2 linked regions of the Alligator mississippiensis genome follow. The protein of the gene in region 1 purifies or fractionates together with the protein of each later gene. This does not show direct contact. Links are inferred from orthologs where the notes say so. Each region holds a gene or a part of one and is shown on either strand. Other genes may lie near its edges.

Evidence for each region.
Region 2: the proteins of SLC7A11 (region 1) and CD44 purify together in Homo sapiens (affinity purification with western blotting; 3 studies listed by BioGRID and IntAct, with this or other methods). This does not show direct contact. The link is inferred for Alligator mississippiensis from reciprocal best matches to the Homo sapiens genes SLC7A11 and CD44.

Annotation. Positions count from the first base shown.
Region 1 is NC_081825.1:106,127,632-106,134,977, forward strand, and holds the start of SLC7A11 (cystine/glutamate transporter), read left to right. Parts: upstream 1-4,189; 5' UTR 4,190-4,640; coding exon 4,641-4,917; intron 4,918-7,346. UniProt on the Homo sapiens protein: Heterodimer with SLC3A2, that functions as an antiporter by mediating the exchange of extracellular anionic L-cystine and intracellular L-glutamate across the cellular plasma membrane.
Region 2 is NC_081825.1:218,155,624-218,163,812, forward strand, and holds the start of CD44 (CD44 antigen), read left to right. Parts: upstream 1-5,060; 5' UTR 5,061-5,276; coding exon 5,277-5,343; intron 5,344-8,189. UniProt on the Homo sapiens protein: Cell-surface receptor that plays a role in cell-cell interactions, cell adhesion and migration, helping them to sense and respond to changes in the tissue microenvironment.

The sequences.
Region 1 (7,346 bases):
TCAAATAGAAATTCATGGTTTCAAAAACATTCTGATTGTTTTAGTCTTTCTGAGTTCTTTGCAACTGAAGAATTGTTCTGTTTAATTTTCCTGTAGTCAAAAATCTACTGAAAACTAAGAGCTGGCATTTTCTAAGGGATGTCTTAAGTCTAATAAGGGGTGCCGTGTATCCAAAAGGGTTGAGAACCATTGGTCTAGCAGGGTCACATGCTAATTCAGTTATCTGCAAATTTTAGGCAAAAACCTATAGAGAATTCATTAGGCTTACTCTTGATTAAGAATTTTGTTTGGCATAAAAAAGATAAATGTTTCATGACATGGTGATAGTAAGGTTCAGAAGGAGGAAACCATTTTACATTGTTTATCTAGTTTATGTATTAAAACTTTTGGTCAGGAAATGAACCTGACACTGCATAGAAAATATAGCATAGAAAATACGACAATGCTGTGCATCTTTCCAATTGCTTGCAGAGGTGAAATCTTATTTTCTTTTCTGTGGGAGAGCTTCCTGTTGCTCTAAAATATTTTCAGCATCCTGAAGGAGATATTGCCTTAAAAAATTAAAATTGTAGGTCTAACAGAGTATGTTTTCAGTAGTGAACAAGTTAAGCTTCAGGTGGCCTGAAGACTTCCCTAGGGAATATGGCTGTGTACTGTGCTGTGTTTTTTTTTACTAATGCCATAATCCTGCATTAACTTGGAACAATTTAAATTAAAACTACCAGTGAAAGTAACTCCTTGTGGTCACATCTGACTCAGGATAGATTGGGTAAGCATGACATTGATTGTGAGATCTTAAGGTGTCTGTCACTGTTTCCTTCTTGTCTTGGAAATAGACTTAGATGGCAGAGAAGTCACAACTAATTTGCCAAAAAGACTAATTTTGTTCTGGTCTTTAAAAGTGCCCCAGGGTTGTTTACTCCTTTCTGTGCAGAATTTGGGATGTTGATGACACAAATGATTACTTTTTATTGTAAGAGCCCAAATGTCAAGCGGCTAACTTTTGCCATGGTCTCACAGCCACAGGATTTGGTACAGCAGTAGCTAAGGGCTGCACAGGAAAGCACTGCAAGAAAAGAAGTGTGCCTTACCTATAATTCTCTCCCTATTCCCTTCTTGCTCCAGGGGGTAGCAATTCACAGCAGTTCTGTACTAGTTGTAAACTACTCCTCCCTGTGCCAGCTCAGCATTGCTGATAGCGTGCTGAAAGAAGCAGTCAGGGCTCCACCCATCAGTAAATGGATGTGCAGCTGCCCTTATCCATGCATGCCCAAACCTGAGATTTGGATAGCCTATTGGGACTTCAGGACCAACGGAGCTTTCTTTGCAGGCCACTTCCTCCAAATTAGTCTTGCCTCAAGCAAGGCAGACCAGTGAGAAAATGTGAAGCTACAGATGTAATAACTGACTGTATGTTAAGTAGTAGGTGTTAATCAGAGATTAGTGAGGAAGCAAGAGAAGACGACAGAAAGGTTCAATGTCAAGAACTAAGCCTTTCCTTAATTTAGCTGATTTGTTTCTATTACTTAACAACCCTGCTGTTCAAAATTGAATGTGACTGTTCTGACTTTGTTGAGTAGAATTATAGAAAATGAGGGTTGGAAAGGACCTCAGGAGGTCATCTAGTCCAAATCCTGCTCAGAGCAGGACCCATCCCCAGCTACATTATCTCAGTCAAAGCTTTGTCTAGCCAAGTCTTAAAAACCTCCAAGGAAGGAGATTCCACAACCACTCTGGGTAACCTGTTCCAGTGTTTTATTACCCTCCTCGTGAAAAAATTTTTCCTTATAACTAACCTAAACATCCCTTGCTGAAACTTGAGACCATTGCTCCTTCTTCTGTCATCTGCCACCACTGAGAACAGTCGGGCTTCATCCTCTGTGTAACCACCCTTCAGGTAGTTGAAGGCTGCTATTAAAGTAGCTATTGTTACTTATTTGTATTGCAGGACCCTTCAAAGTATTGTAGGTTCTACACAGAATTAGGAGAACTCAGAGAGACTCTCAGTCTCAGCTACAGCCAAGAAGGCATGTGAAAACATGACTTTAAATAACTTTACCTCTTTTCTGCTCTTGGTCTAGCACTGATACTAAGTTAGAAAGGCCATAGGCTACTTCAACTAATGCTATGCACCAAGAGTGCCCAAGGGACTCATACAACATTAGGGAAATCATAAGTTAAAGTAAAAGCTGTAAGTGCTATTACTGATAAATCATCCCAAGGTCTAAAGACATATAGAAAATCATAGTTTATGTTTTAATTGAACAGCTTATTGGTTAAATAATGATACATACATACACACACAGAAGTCCATGTGAGTTGCTATCTTCCTAAAAGCAAAGAGGACCTGTGGTCAAATAAATGTGAAGGTTTTTAACTCCTTTGAAAGTTTATACCAAATATTCAAGGCAGAGCTCTGAACTGCTGGGAGCTGCCTTGGAGTTGTCTGGAAGCTTGCTTAATACTTCTTTTGATCTGTAGCTCCTTCCCATTTAATTACCTTCCCATTTAAATAAATGTCAGGCATTGATTAAGGACTATATAAGGGTATATACATAACATATATCCCTGAGACACTGATTAAGGAAGCCCTGCTGCGTGCTTGTGATTCTGCACCTTTAAATTCAGTTTAAGAACATCAGCCCAGGCCAGTGGTTAATAATTTGACCAGGTACCTCACTGGCATGTACCTGAGTGGTATTCAATGTTTTTCAGTAAAAAATTAATTGCTCTTTCACCTAGGCGCAGAGCAGGCACATGGTAGACAGACTAAGGAAGAGGCATAGGCAACTGGTAGAGAGTGCATGGGGGTGCATGTGCCCCCCCTGACGGGGCTGGTGGCCCCCCAACAGCTGACACTGATGCTGTTGGTAGAGCTGGTGTCCCCCCTGACAGGGTCGGTGGCTTTTGCGGGTGGCCCCCCAGATTCAGAATGCACCCATCACCCATGACTAGAGGAGAAATCACAGTATCTGATGGTGGATATGCAAAGAGTATAGAGTAAGAAGTGAAACTTTCTTTAAAACATTGTAACAGTGCAAATAGATGTGCAAAAATGGTGTTTTTTGTGTTTGTACCTCTGTATATTAATACCAGCCAAGGTTTTTATAGATAGTTTTACCACCACACAAATTATTACAGACAAGTCACAACCCCTGAAAATACAGGTCTTTTAAAATATTGATTTGGGTTTTACAACTAGAGTGTTAAGAGTGCAGCTCTACACTGAGTGTATTACTAGGATACACTCAAAGAATAGTGTTGTCTTTTGAAATGCTAAAATGTTCAGCTAATATATTTTTCCATCTTGGAGCTAATTAAGCAATAACTGTAAAGGGAGTATGTGAGGCAATAATAATTTCTCATTGCGCTGATTGAATCTAAAGCTATGAGCAGCTGCGCTACTTAAGTTATGTAAGATTCCCCTCTTTGGCATATAGTACTCTGTACAGTGAGATTATAAAGACTTGAGGGACTATTTTTGTTGTTTTATGAACTGTTTTTGTTTGCGTATTTGTTTTTAACTTTTGGTGTGGTGGTTTGAAAGAAAATAATTCATGTGAGTTAGAAGGACACGAAAGTAAAGAATTTGGAATTTATCAGTTAATCCGCTCAGAAAAACATCATGGTCGCATGCAAATTTCTGTTATCTGAGTCACTGCATTCCCTTTAATGTTCCATCAGATCTGAAAAGAGTTTGTTGTAAATGTTAACAAGAGTTCCTGCAGGGGGATTCTCATCAGTAACTTCCTCGTAAGCATCACAGAAACACTAACGAGAGAATGACTGTATGGAAATAACCTACATTTTTCACTAGTCTGATTTGGATGTGTTGCTAGGCAACATAAGGTAGCAAAAGGGTTATATGTAGTCTCTGTAAATGTGTGTCTGATCTATGTCAATTTTCAGGTAAAGAAAATAGATTTTTAGACAAACTAACTAGACCTAACAAAACACAACAGTTGAAAACCCTGAAGTATACGGTAGTGAAAAGATAGTATTGAAAAAAAGAATTGGAGAAGACCCAAAGATGACGTATCCTGTTTGATTTTTTTGTTTCTGGCTGAAGGGCTTTGTATTTTGAAACAGGCTTTTGTGTCTCACTACTAGTTCTTTTAAATACTTGGGAGTGTGTTTGAATGTGTCGACATTAGTGTACTACTGCCTGATAGGTTAAGGTTCCTTTTAAGTGAGAGCTTTGTTCTTCCTAAATAGCTCAGGTCAGTTGTGCAACATACCCCTACCGTTTAAAAAAAAAAAAGAAAGAAAGAAAGAAAAAAGTGCTGAATAATCCCAGATGGCTGATGCAAACCTGCAGAATTTGCATCATCATTCAGCACGAGTAACTTGGTATGACAGGAGCTTAAATACAAGTCCACGCGGAAGCAGAACTGGTTTCCAATGACAAGGCAGCACCAGCCTGTGCTGGGAGAGTTCAGATGTTAGGGAATAGCATTTAGATTTCAATGAAGAGTAAAAATACACCTTGAATGGTTTACCTGTGTGTAGGAACAGCTTGGAAGGCATTGGAAAGGCACGGAGAGCAATTAACTACTCACAAATAGAGGAAGAAACCTTGAGCGTCTGCCACAAAGTTTTTTTTTAAAGTTTTGTTTGTTTTGAGTGTGCTGATTGCTAGCATGTTTAGGAAACCTGCTGTACCTACAATCACTAATGGAAGCTATGTGCAGGGGCAATCTAATGGCAGGTTGCCTTCTATGGACAGCAAAGAGCCAGTGAGGGAAGAAAAAGTAGTGCTGAAGAAAAAAGTAACTTTGTTGAGAGGCATATCCATTATAATTGGTACTATCATTGGAGCAGGAATCTTCATCTCTCCTAAAGGAATTCTGGAGAACACCGGCAGCGTGGGAATGTCCTTGGTTGTCTGGACAGTGTGTGGTATCCTCTCACTGTTTGGTAAGTTAGTCAAAGTTTATAATTGCTCCTTTGGGACAGCTGGTGAATTCTTCTCTTCTTATTTTTGCTAGTGGATATCAAAGATCAATCTGATGCTTGAGGACCAGTAAGGCTATGGATACTTATTTGCTATTTGATGGGCTCTCTCAATGGTACAGTTGTGTGCAATCAGTATTGCCTCTATCATGAGCATTATGGCATAAAACTCTACTGAAGGGCTGTATGAAGACCCTAGACCAAACAGTGTTTTTAATGCATCCCTAATATATCAGGAGAGGGAAGTATCCATTACTGTATTGTGAAGTGTGGTATATGTTTGATGTTCTTGTTTTAAATGTATGGATTAGTTTACAGCATGCTTGCAAGCTAGAGAGATGGGCTGGTCATTTTGAACACCTGTGAGATGTTTAAACAGCTTTTCTCAGTTCCCTGCTCATCTGATCCAGTTCTAAGATGAATAACTTCTGGACAAAAACAGTTACTGGCAAGAAATTGAATTAAATTAAAACTTTCTGCAACTGTTTGTCACTTCATTTATCAGTTCACGATATTTTATGAAAAACTGCACCCCCAAAATTGAGGAATTTCGAAACAAGCACATATTGTGAACTTTGTCTTCTGGAATGTATCTGGCTACAATATTTGCACATTTTCATTAGTAAAAGTATTAGAACTCCTTATGAATGCCAGTTTATTTGTCTTGTTGTATAAAGAGCTGCATTCACAATGGATATCAGCACCCTTGATTATGTGGAACAGAAGGTCTATTGACCAACTTAATGAGTTAATCGCAAAAAAGCTGAGCAACTGACACAAATATTGGCTTTATTTAAAATCCAGACTACTTGTCTTCTGGCATGTGGTAAAGAGGGAAAACACTAAGTAGCACGTGCCTGCTTAATAGATGGGACATGTGAATTTTGCCCTGGGTAAATTGGCCAGGATCATTGATTGTTTTGAAGAAATACAAAGAATGAAAAAGAATGTTGAAAAATGTTACTGCCCCTTCTCATCAGAGGTTGAATTTATTTAATTACAGGCACAATATAAGACACAACAGTAATTTGCCATCGAACTCTGAAGGTACTGCCTAAGACCCAAACCTTTTTCTTGAAGTAAACACAATTTGGCATCCAGTTATATGCTGGCCTTTAGATAAAACTAGAGACACACCTTGCCTGAACACAGGATATTTGAAATTAACCTTCATAGTTATGTGGTATACGAAGAGTGATTAAATATAGTACATTCTGATTTTTCCCCTCTGCCTTTACATGTTGTGATAAGATGTCATACATTTTTTCACGTCATACACACGTTGTAAAATGTCATACATTCATGTTGTGATAAAATGTCATACATACTATTTTTCATTACCAGTGGTCTTGGTGATGCTCTCTATGAAATACTGATTACAGCATTACAACAGCTTCTTTCAAACTGATTCTGTCTTACAACCTTCCAGATAAATTGGCAAGAAAAAACACATCAACAGGTTTTTCTAAATGTGACTCTCCAATCACTTTAGGTAGAATATCAGTTACGTTCATTAATACCACACAAAGACTTCAGCAGGGCCCCAAATCGAAGCAAGTGCGATATGCATGGAGTTCTTAATAAAAACATGTTTTAATGGCTGTAGAATACATCCCTATCAATGAAAAAAAATGTATATTATGTAGTGCTTTCTCTATTGTTAGACTATATCACATGCATGTATGTATGTGACCAAAAACACTGGGCATACGAGTGGTTTTGAGTGTTGTGCTGCTTTGAAAAATGTGGTTTATACCTTAAAATGCTATAGCATTATTTACTGAGGGACTGCATCCTTGACCACTGCATATATATCACCAATCATAACACTGCAAGCCATGATTTATTAAAACCATATAGTTCTATTGATTCTGTATTCCTGCATGTTACTAAACCATTTATAACGGTATTTATGAGATACACCTCTCCTTAACTGATGTTGTCCACACATGGAGATGAGAACATTTTATCCTCCTGGCTAAAAGACTTTGCTCTTCTGCAAAGTGGCCATGTCTACATGAGATTAATGTGTGTGAATGATTACTGTGCGTTAATTTAATACTTGCATAAAAAGATAATAAATGTGGAGTAACCCAAGTTACTGTACAGTGGTGCTAGTGAATGCCTTCTTTGTGATGCTACTGTGCCTAATACTACTGCGCAATAGTGTTGCATCACACTTTTTGCCATGCAACACTACAGTGCACTAATATTGGGCTACTGCGCAGTCAGGGTCTCATGTAGACATGGCCACTGATTGACAAATTTGGACAGGAAGACTTATGACTTTTAGATCAGATTGGAAAAGACTGCCTTTCTCTGTAGCATGTGGTCTGGTCTCCTTCTTGTATTCATCCAAATGCATGTTAAGCAATTACTTCTGTGTCATAGCA
Region 2 (8,189 bases), about 110 Mb from region 1:
TCCCTTCCAATCCTACCAACTATGAAACTATGAAACTAAGTCTGCAGCTGCCAGCCTGCCCCCACCCCTCCCTGATGGGATCCATTCTGGTGTGCAGCCCATGGGGAAGAGAGAGCTGGGCTCTGCACTCTGCTCTGCTGTAGCGGCCACCACCTCCTGAAGGCAGCGGCCGGGGCTTGGGCACTGCTGTGGGGGGCAGGTGGCTGTGGACCCAGGACCCTGGCCCCATAACTCTGGCAGCTGGGGGCCCCCTCTGGCAGGGCTGTAGGGGCTGGGGGGCTATGGGTGGGGGGTGAAGGGCACCATCAGGGGCAGGGGTCTATAGCTGGGAAGTGAGGGGCACTGGTAGAGCTGGGGAGCTGTGGGTGGGGAGTGACGAGCACTAGCAGGGGTGGGGGGTCTGTGGATGGGGAGAGAGGGGCAATGATATGGACAGGGCACCGGCATATCAAGGCTACTCAGCACCACAAAGCAGTGGCCAGCTGCAGCTGGACCCACATCCTGGCAAGGAAAGGGGGCAGGAGGAACTCATATTTTCCATGATAAAAATCCCCAAAATCAAGGGGCAATATGTATAGGTATTTAGAATTTATTTTATTATAGTGATTGGGGCACTGGTAGGCTTCCAAATTACTTTAAAATTGTAAATATATCAATAAAACATTGTGTTCAACTGATACCTATATATATATATATATATATATATATATATATATATATATATATATATATATATAAGGCATTTCATTTTAATCATGGGAAATTGCAGATTTTGGGGGTTTTTAATGAGAGAATTTGCGATTTTTTTAGGTTTTTTTAATCAGAGAATTTGTGATTTTTAAACAGAGAAAACCAGGATCCCTGATTATGATCATCCAAGATGCAGGACAAACAATATTCAGGTCTGGGTGATTAATGGAGTTTTGATTTAATGATATCAAGAATAGGACTGGGAGTTAGGCCATTAAAAAGTCAAGGATACCCATTTCTAATAGAATAAGGCAGTGGGACAGATGGATCTTTCAGCTGCTAGGAAATCAATGTATTGCCTATGAAGTCAGTGGAACTCTCCACTTTACATTACCTATGAACTGGGTCTTTTGTTTCTAACATGGGGAAACTGAGATTTAGGACATTAAAAATGATAATTCAACTGTCTAGGAAAATATGTCATGTCATTTTCAGAGGGTTCTAAAATATAATTAGGTAATTTTCCCTTCCCCTGAGTCTAATCTAGTTAGATGGGTAGTGCCATTTTGTAAAAGGTAGGTGATACCTGAAGATGAAAATATAACTAATTTACTCCAAGTGATATGTGTACCTACTTTTGAAAATCCCACTATGTTCCTATCTGAATTCTTAATTACCTTTGAATATTTGACCTGTCATTTAAACTTAGAGGTAGAAGAATATGAAAATTATTGTAAGACCTATAAGAAATCCTTTTTTTTCTATTGAAACAATTAGCTTAAATGTGTGACCAAATTAACAGGATAAAATAGATTTATTGTATAAGATACATAAGAAAAAAGAAAAAAACTTTGGTGTTTGAAGGAAGACATCCACTTTTACATTACCCCATCAGATACTCTAGATTTGTTAAGCTAGAAGGAAGAAACTAAAAATTGCTAAACATATGGAAAGTTGGGAGGGAGCCCAATGAAGGGTTAGCCAGTTATGTTTAAGTCAAAAGTCAAAGAAAAGTCAAAGTCCTGAAATGCTCTTTGTGTAAAATTCTTATGCTTGTGGCTGGGAGAGGCCATGTTCTGTATTTTTCAATTGTTTGTATTACAAGTTAATTAAAAAGCTGTTTAAAGTGTGGAATTGCTGGTTCATTGGATTGGTAATATGATATAGAATCTTTCATCTCTAAGGGGCTGACTGAATTCCAGCCCAGATCATTAATGAACAAAAGTCATTGCCATCTCCTGATTGTTAAGGTGATAGATATATTCTTGGTAGTCTCATTGTAGTTCCAAGAAGACAGAAGTTTTCTTTGCGGTAGCCAGTAGTATAAATCACATCTCAGAATAGAGAATAAGGTATGGATAGACTATAGTAAATTGTTAGAGGGGTGGTGGTATATGCTCCTAATACCCATGTTGTACTTCTCCCTTGTATAATGATCTCCAGGCCTTTCCCTGCATTAAATTCTAAATGAATATGTGATCTTCAAAAGCTGCTGTACTTTCACTGACTCTTCTATTGTCTTTAGGGAATGAGAAATAAATAATCCCTTCCTTTCTACCCATACAAGTAATGAATCACCCCAACACAATTCCTAGATGTCAGCGGCACAAAAAAGCTCTCTGTTGTAGTTGGCAGTAAACATCAACTTTGTTAGAGCAGCTTCAGCCCAGAGGCTAAGTCGATAATGGGCCCTGGAGAGACTGACTGTTCCCCTTGTACCTGGAGATCAGAATGGAGACACATAGGCTAGGGACAGACATTGCACATAAACTGGTTTAAGTGATCAGAAATTGGTTTAAACCTGCAACAGAACATACATTCAGTGCACATAAACCAGTTTCAAAATGGCTGAAACCAGTTTCAGATTAACCTGGTTGAAAGTAGTATCAGACTTAACTGATTTGGCTCAAACTGGTTTATGCAATGTCTGTCCCAGAGCTCTTCCTGGTTTAACTTAAACCAGAGTCCCCCAGCATCCTGGCATGCTCTCTGGGCTGGGCTCTGTTTAAGCTCAGCAGTGTTATCCCTGCCCCTCTGCTCCCCAGCTGGAGCTGGGACAGGCAAGGATGGGCAGGGTTGGAGGTCTGGTCAGAGAGGGGTATCATTCCCCCTCCCTGTCCCACTGGCAGGGTCCCAGGGCAGAGAAACTTCTGCCCCATGTGTGGAGCTCCAGCTGCAGCTCCCAGATGCCTTGGAAGGTGGAAGGTGCCGGGGCGGGAGGCTTCAGTCCAGAGGCTGCCGCTGGAGCTCCACACATAGGGCACAAGCTGCGGGGCTGAAGTTCCTCTCCCCCAGCTGCCTCCCAGAGCAGCTCAGAAGCAGCAGGAATGGGAGGGGAAGTCACCATGGCAGGTGAGGGGAATGCGGCTTGGCCCGGCAGGGCTTTCTCCCCTTGCTTCCAGCTGTGGCTCCTGCCACACTGCACAGTGCCACTTGGGGCTTCCTTTAGCTTGGTGGCTTCAGCCCAGTTCAGGTTGAAGCCACCAGGCTGAAGGAAGCTACCGCAGCCCCAAGCAGTGCTGTGTGGTGCAGCAGGAGCCGCTGTTGGAGGCAAGGGGAGAAAGTCCTGCTGAGCCAAGCTGACTTTCCCTCGCCTGCCACGGTGACTCCCCCTCCCATTCCTGCTGCTCTGGGAGGCAGTGCGGGGGGAGGAAGAAGCTTCAGCACCATGGCTTGTGCTACACACATGGAGCTCTGGCAACAGCCCCCTGGACTGAAGCCTCTCACCCTAGCACCTTCCAAGGCGTCCGGGAGCTGGAGCTGGAGCTCCGTGCATGGGGCAGAAGCTTCCCACCCTCCCCCAGCCAGCACAGCATGGTGTGGCCATGGCAGTGGCAGCTGGAGCCAAGGGCGGCAGAACAGCCCCACTGCCCCAGCCAGCCCTCAGTTGCTTGTTAGGCTGCAGCCCCAGGTGCTGCACAGGGCTGAGGGGTGGCAGTGGTGGCTGCTGGGCTCGGGCCATGCCACCACCTCTGAGCTGGCTTGGGAAGCCTGCTCCCGAGCCAGCCCCCACCTGACACTGGCTGACAGGGCCCCTTGGGTGCTGGGGGTGGGGGGGCAGGGACCAGGGTTATTCTCTCTGGCATCTGGCAGAAGGGACAGGAGGGGGCATATTCTGCTGCTTGGTAGCGGTTGGGGCAGGCAGACCTGGCTGTGGTCCCCTGGGGGCAGTGGGGGTAGAGGGAAATAACCTCTCCCCTCCTCAGGGGCCATGCTGGCTCGTGGCTGCAGCAGTGAAAGGGAGGGGGCGGCAGACCTGGTTCAGGTCCCTGCTAGTGGGACAGGGAAGGGGGATTTAAACCCCTCTCTGGCCAGTTCTGCCAGGACTGGCCATGCCCCCCCAGCACAGCTTCCCTGCAGTCAAGGGTGGGCTCTAGCACCCCCAGCTCCTGGCCTGAGCAACTGCAGGCATGTTCCCGCATGTCTGTGCAGTTACAAGCCCGTTCAGCCTAGCCAGGTTCGACTAACCCACAAAGGTTGAATCAGTTCAGGCTCCGGCTTTTTGAACTCCCTAGCCACATAAAGGGATCGGTGGGCATGTCTACCCAAGACATTTACTGCGGAGTTGCCTAATTAACTGCTCAGTAAATGCCTCAGCCTCTACACATGCAGTGCTATTAGGATGGAGCAAACTAATTAACTCCACCTCAGGTTAGTACTTGCAAACACAAGTACTAACCTACAGCAGAGTTTTTACTCCGCAGCAACACAAGTGTAGATGCTGTTGCGGTTGGCTGGGGCATGAGGGTGCTTCAGTGCAGGGGCTGCCTGCCAACTAGCTCTTCACTGGAGCACCCTCATGCCCCAGACAGCCCCTCTGCAGTGTGCTGAGCTGGGTCAGAGCAGCCCTGGACTGGCAGGCTGACCCCCCTGCCAGCCGGAGCTGCTTTGACCCAGCTCAACGTGCTGCAGTCTTGGGTGCATGTGAAGATGTGGCACCCTGGAGCAATAAATTCTGGCACCCTATGTACTGGAGTTTATTGCTACACATTACTAGTATATGTAGATGTACCTAGTGTGAAGAAAACCCATGACCTGTGCCCCACATGGATATGAGAGATTAGTGTTTATTCATCAGTGATGAAATGAGAGCTGGGGGAAAGAAAAAAGTGTTATTTAGAAATATTCAGAGAGTTGTAGACATTTTGACGGGTTTCGGTAACATAGATATGTTTTTATTTTCTTATTTTTTAATATAGGCTGTGGAAGTGGAAGCTAATAACACAGTTCCTTTCTGAGATGATTCAAGAAAGATTGCAAAAAATGTCTACCAGAGAAGCACTAAGCTGTCTTTTACTTGTAGTGCTCTGAGTAAAAGTGATTTAGTGCCTCTAGAAGTCAGCTATTGCTGCTTACTCAGAAGTAGTAGCTTCCCCTTTGCTCAGTCACTTTTTCTTTTTTGTGCAGCATGGGTGTGACTTTCAGCTCCCCCTCCCTGTTATGTCACTACTTCAATTCTTTGGAATAAAAACTGCAGCAAACTTCAGAGTCATTGACTGCAGGCTCAACAAGAGTTAGGGCTTTTTGTCTTTGTGCAGCTTGCAAGGATCTGTCGAGTTTTTTGCAAAAGTAACTCTGAGGAAACAATGGTCAAGTTCTTGTTGTGGGCAACTTTTGGATTATGTTTTCTGAAGCTTTGTGAAGCACAGACACGTAAGTACTGTATGAATGAAAATGCTAATGTTTGCTATTAAGTTTTCTGCTTCGGACAGCGGCAACCATCCAGCCAGCTGGTTAGCAGCCTCTTTGCCACATAAGCATGTCTCTTTGAATCAAGTTTTATTGTTTTTAAGTTATTCTCTGGTGAAACTGAGACAGAAATGCAACCTGTGCTGTTTTTCTTTTTACTTAAAAGCTAACCAGTATTTGGTAACGTACAGCCGCTAAAAGTACTTTGAGAACTAAACTGTTACTCAAAGTTTAAACTAACAAGTATGATAAGGAATTGATCTTTAGCAGAGCTGTTCAAATTCAACAATAGAAACTACCATTATGTATGTACATTGCTCTACCATTCTTGTAAAACCGACAGTTTGTAGGAGGTGGTGGGGAACCCCTCTTGGCATACAATAGCTGTATTCTTAGGATCATACAAGCTGAACTAAGGCTATTACATACTGGATTTTAATGCAAAAGCTAGGGTAGGCAGGAAATTCAACTTCTATGATGAAATGTGGAGAGGTTTTTATAGTAAAGCTCCATGTTTCTAAACTATATTTAAAGGATTTGTGGGGGTTGCTTTCAGGTTTTTGGTGGGCTTTTTTTCCTTTTTCTTTTTTCTCTTCTTTTTATTTTGGGCTTAATTGGTAAGATTTTCAAGCAAACAACGAAGTTTGATGGAACTGGGCAATTCAGTTGTTTCGGTGTCAGCTTTCTATAGTTCTGATGTCTGCCTGAAAATATGGGAATAAATCCCCTGTTTTCACAAATGAAAGCACAACACATATGATAAAATAAAAATCACATGCCCATAATGACAAAATGCTCTTAATTTTTTATGTGGTGCAGGCACAACAGTGTTTGGGGGAAATTGCTATGCCTTTAATAGAGTCCCATAGTAATAGAAACTGCCTTGAGGTGCTTTGGCAGAGAATCAATTATTCTTCTACCTTTTTCCATTAACCAGTTCCTAGGAATCTATCAAATCACATATTTTTATAGACGTTATCGACGCAGTTTTTTTCTTTTTTTATATTGAAACTCTTGCTTATTTCAATAAGTAAGTGTTAGAATGGCTCCTATGGCGCAAGATCTATGAATGGGTGTGTCAGATCGAACAGTTCCAGACTCATCCCTGATTTCGGGATAAGTCACGTTGTATTACAGTCTGAAATATTCTTCCCATGATACTAAATGTAAGCTTCATGCTGCAGTTAGATACCTGGACAATGCATGTATATTCAGGGAGGAGCTACACACTTGTAAGGTATATCTGAGGTGTGGCTAGAACCTTGCTTAATGTTTATATAGCATACACATGTTCAGTCAGAGTTTGTTATCACTTGCTCAATTCATTTTTCCTTTTACGAACTGCCATAAACAGGAGTGCCATAAATAGTCACTGTTTGAAGTTACTCTAAGGCTAATATTTTTACAGTAAGAGATGTAAGGAAAAAAAATCTAGTCCTTGGTATAGTTAACACAAAAACATATCAAGCTTAACATATGCCCCACAGAGAATTTTCTTTTTAGGGCTAGCAAGGTATTAAATTATAGCTGTGGTATATTTTAGCTTATATGCAGTGCATTCCAGACTGACTCTGTAGCCACTACAGACTTCACAACTACAGTTGATATTTTAAGTGTCCTTTTTCACAGTGCATCACAAGGTACTGGAAATACACTTGGAGCTTGATTTAAAGGGATGGGCCCGAAGCACAAAATTCAGTTCTTGTCCTGATTTTTTTTTTAATTCTTCAAATGTTTGGAATGATTCCTCCTGGGAATATTGGTTTAGACTCACCCGGGACATTCCAGTTTGTTCTGAAGGTCTCAGATGCAAGTTACAGAGGGTTTAGCCATTCAGTTGGGAAACTATTAATCAGGGGGCTGATTGACCTTGGAGCAGACTTAGAATCCAGTTAGAAGTATATATGCTGGAGAAGCCATGGAAATGCTCTAAATGACATGGCTGAAGGAAAGGTGAGAATCATGAGTGACACCTGCTGAGAAGCAGGGTCTGTGAACCTGCTGTCGCTAGACTGCTACTGAGATCTGAGCTGGGTATGACTTTAGCTGTGCCCCTAGCTAGCTGGCTTACACTTCATCCAGTTTCCAGAACTAGGAGGAAAGGATGTGGGCATCACAGTTTGGGATTCTGTGGCATGAACTGCCACTCCCATTGTGCCCATATAACGCTATTACCTTTACGTTTTTGGCTGTAGTTGAGTAACATAGAAGTGATGACAGAATTTAATGCAGTAAGTTAGGGGGATCTATGAAGGGATCAGTGAAGGAGATTTCAAGGGAACTGAAGGGATGAAAATGGAAGCCTGTGAATGCCGTTGAGAGAGAAGAGAGTGCCCATCCACATGGAAGTGCTGGCCGGAGTGGTAGCCCAGGCTGAAATGAAAAGATGGGGATGACATGCTACCTATGAACTGAAGAGAAAGGGATTGTGTTCTGTCTGTTGTATCTTTTATACAAACTTACAGAAAACAATGTGAACAAGCCTTTTGTGCTAGTTTATTTTCATAAGGATGTTACACTATGTATACTGGCTCTTCTCCCAAAGGTTTGAAGTAAAACCATTTTAATAAAGTTGGGCTGGCATTATTTAATGGGAAGGGTTCAAAACTGCTGTTGAGCTGTTCCTACCAGGCTGGCGAGCCTTGGCTTGTGATGACACAGTAGTCTGGAGGGAGGTTGTTGTTGATCTGGTGGTGATGACAGGTCTCACACCCAACTTTGGTAGTGTGGACACTGGGGTGGGTGGCTGAAAGCCTAGAGGTCATAGCAGAAATGCTCATGGTGCGGCTGTGTCAGATGCTAACAAATCT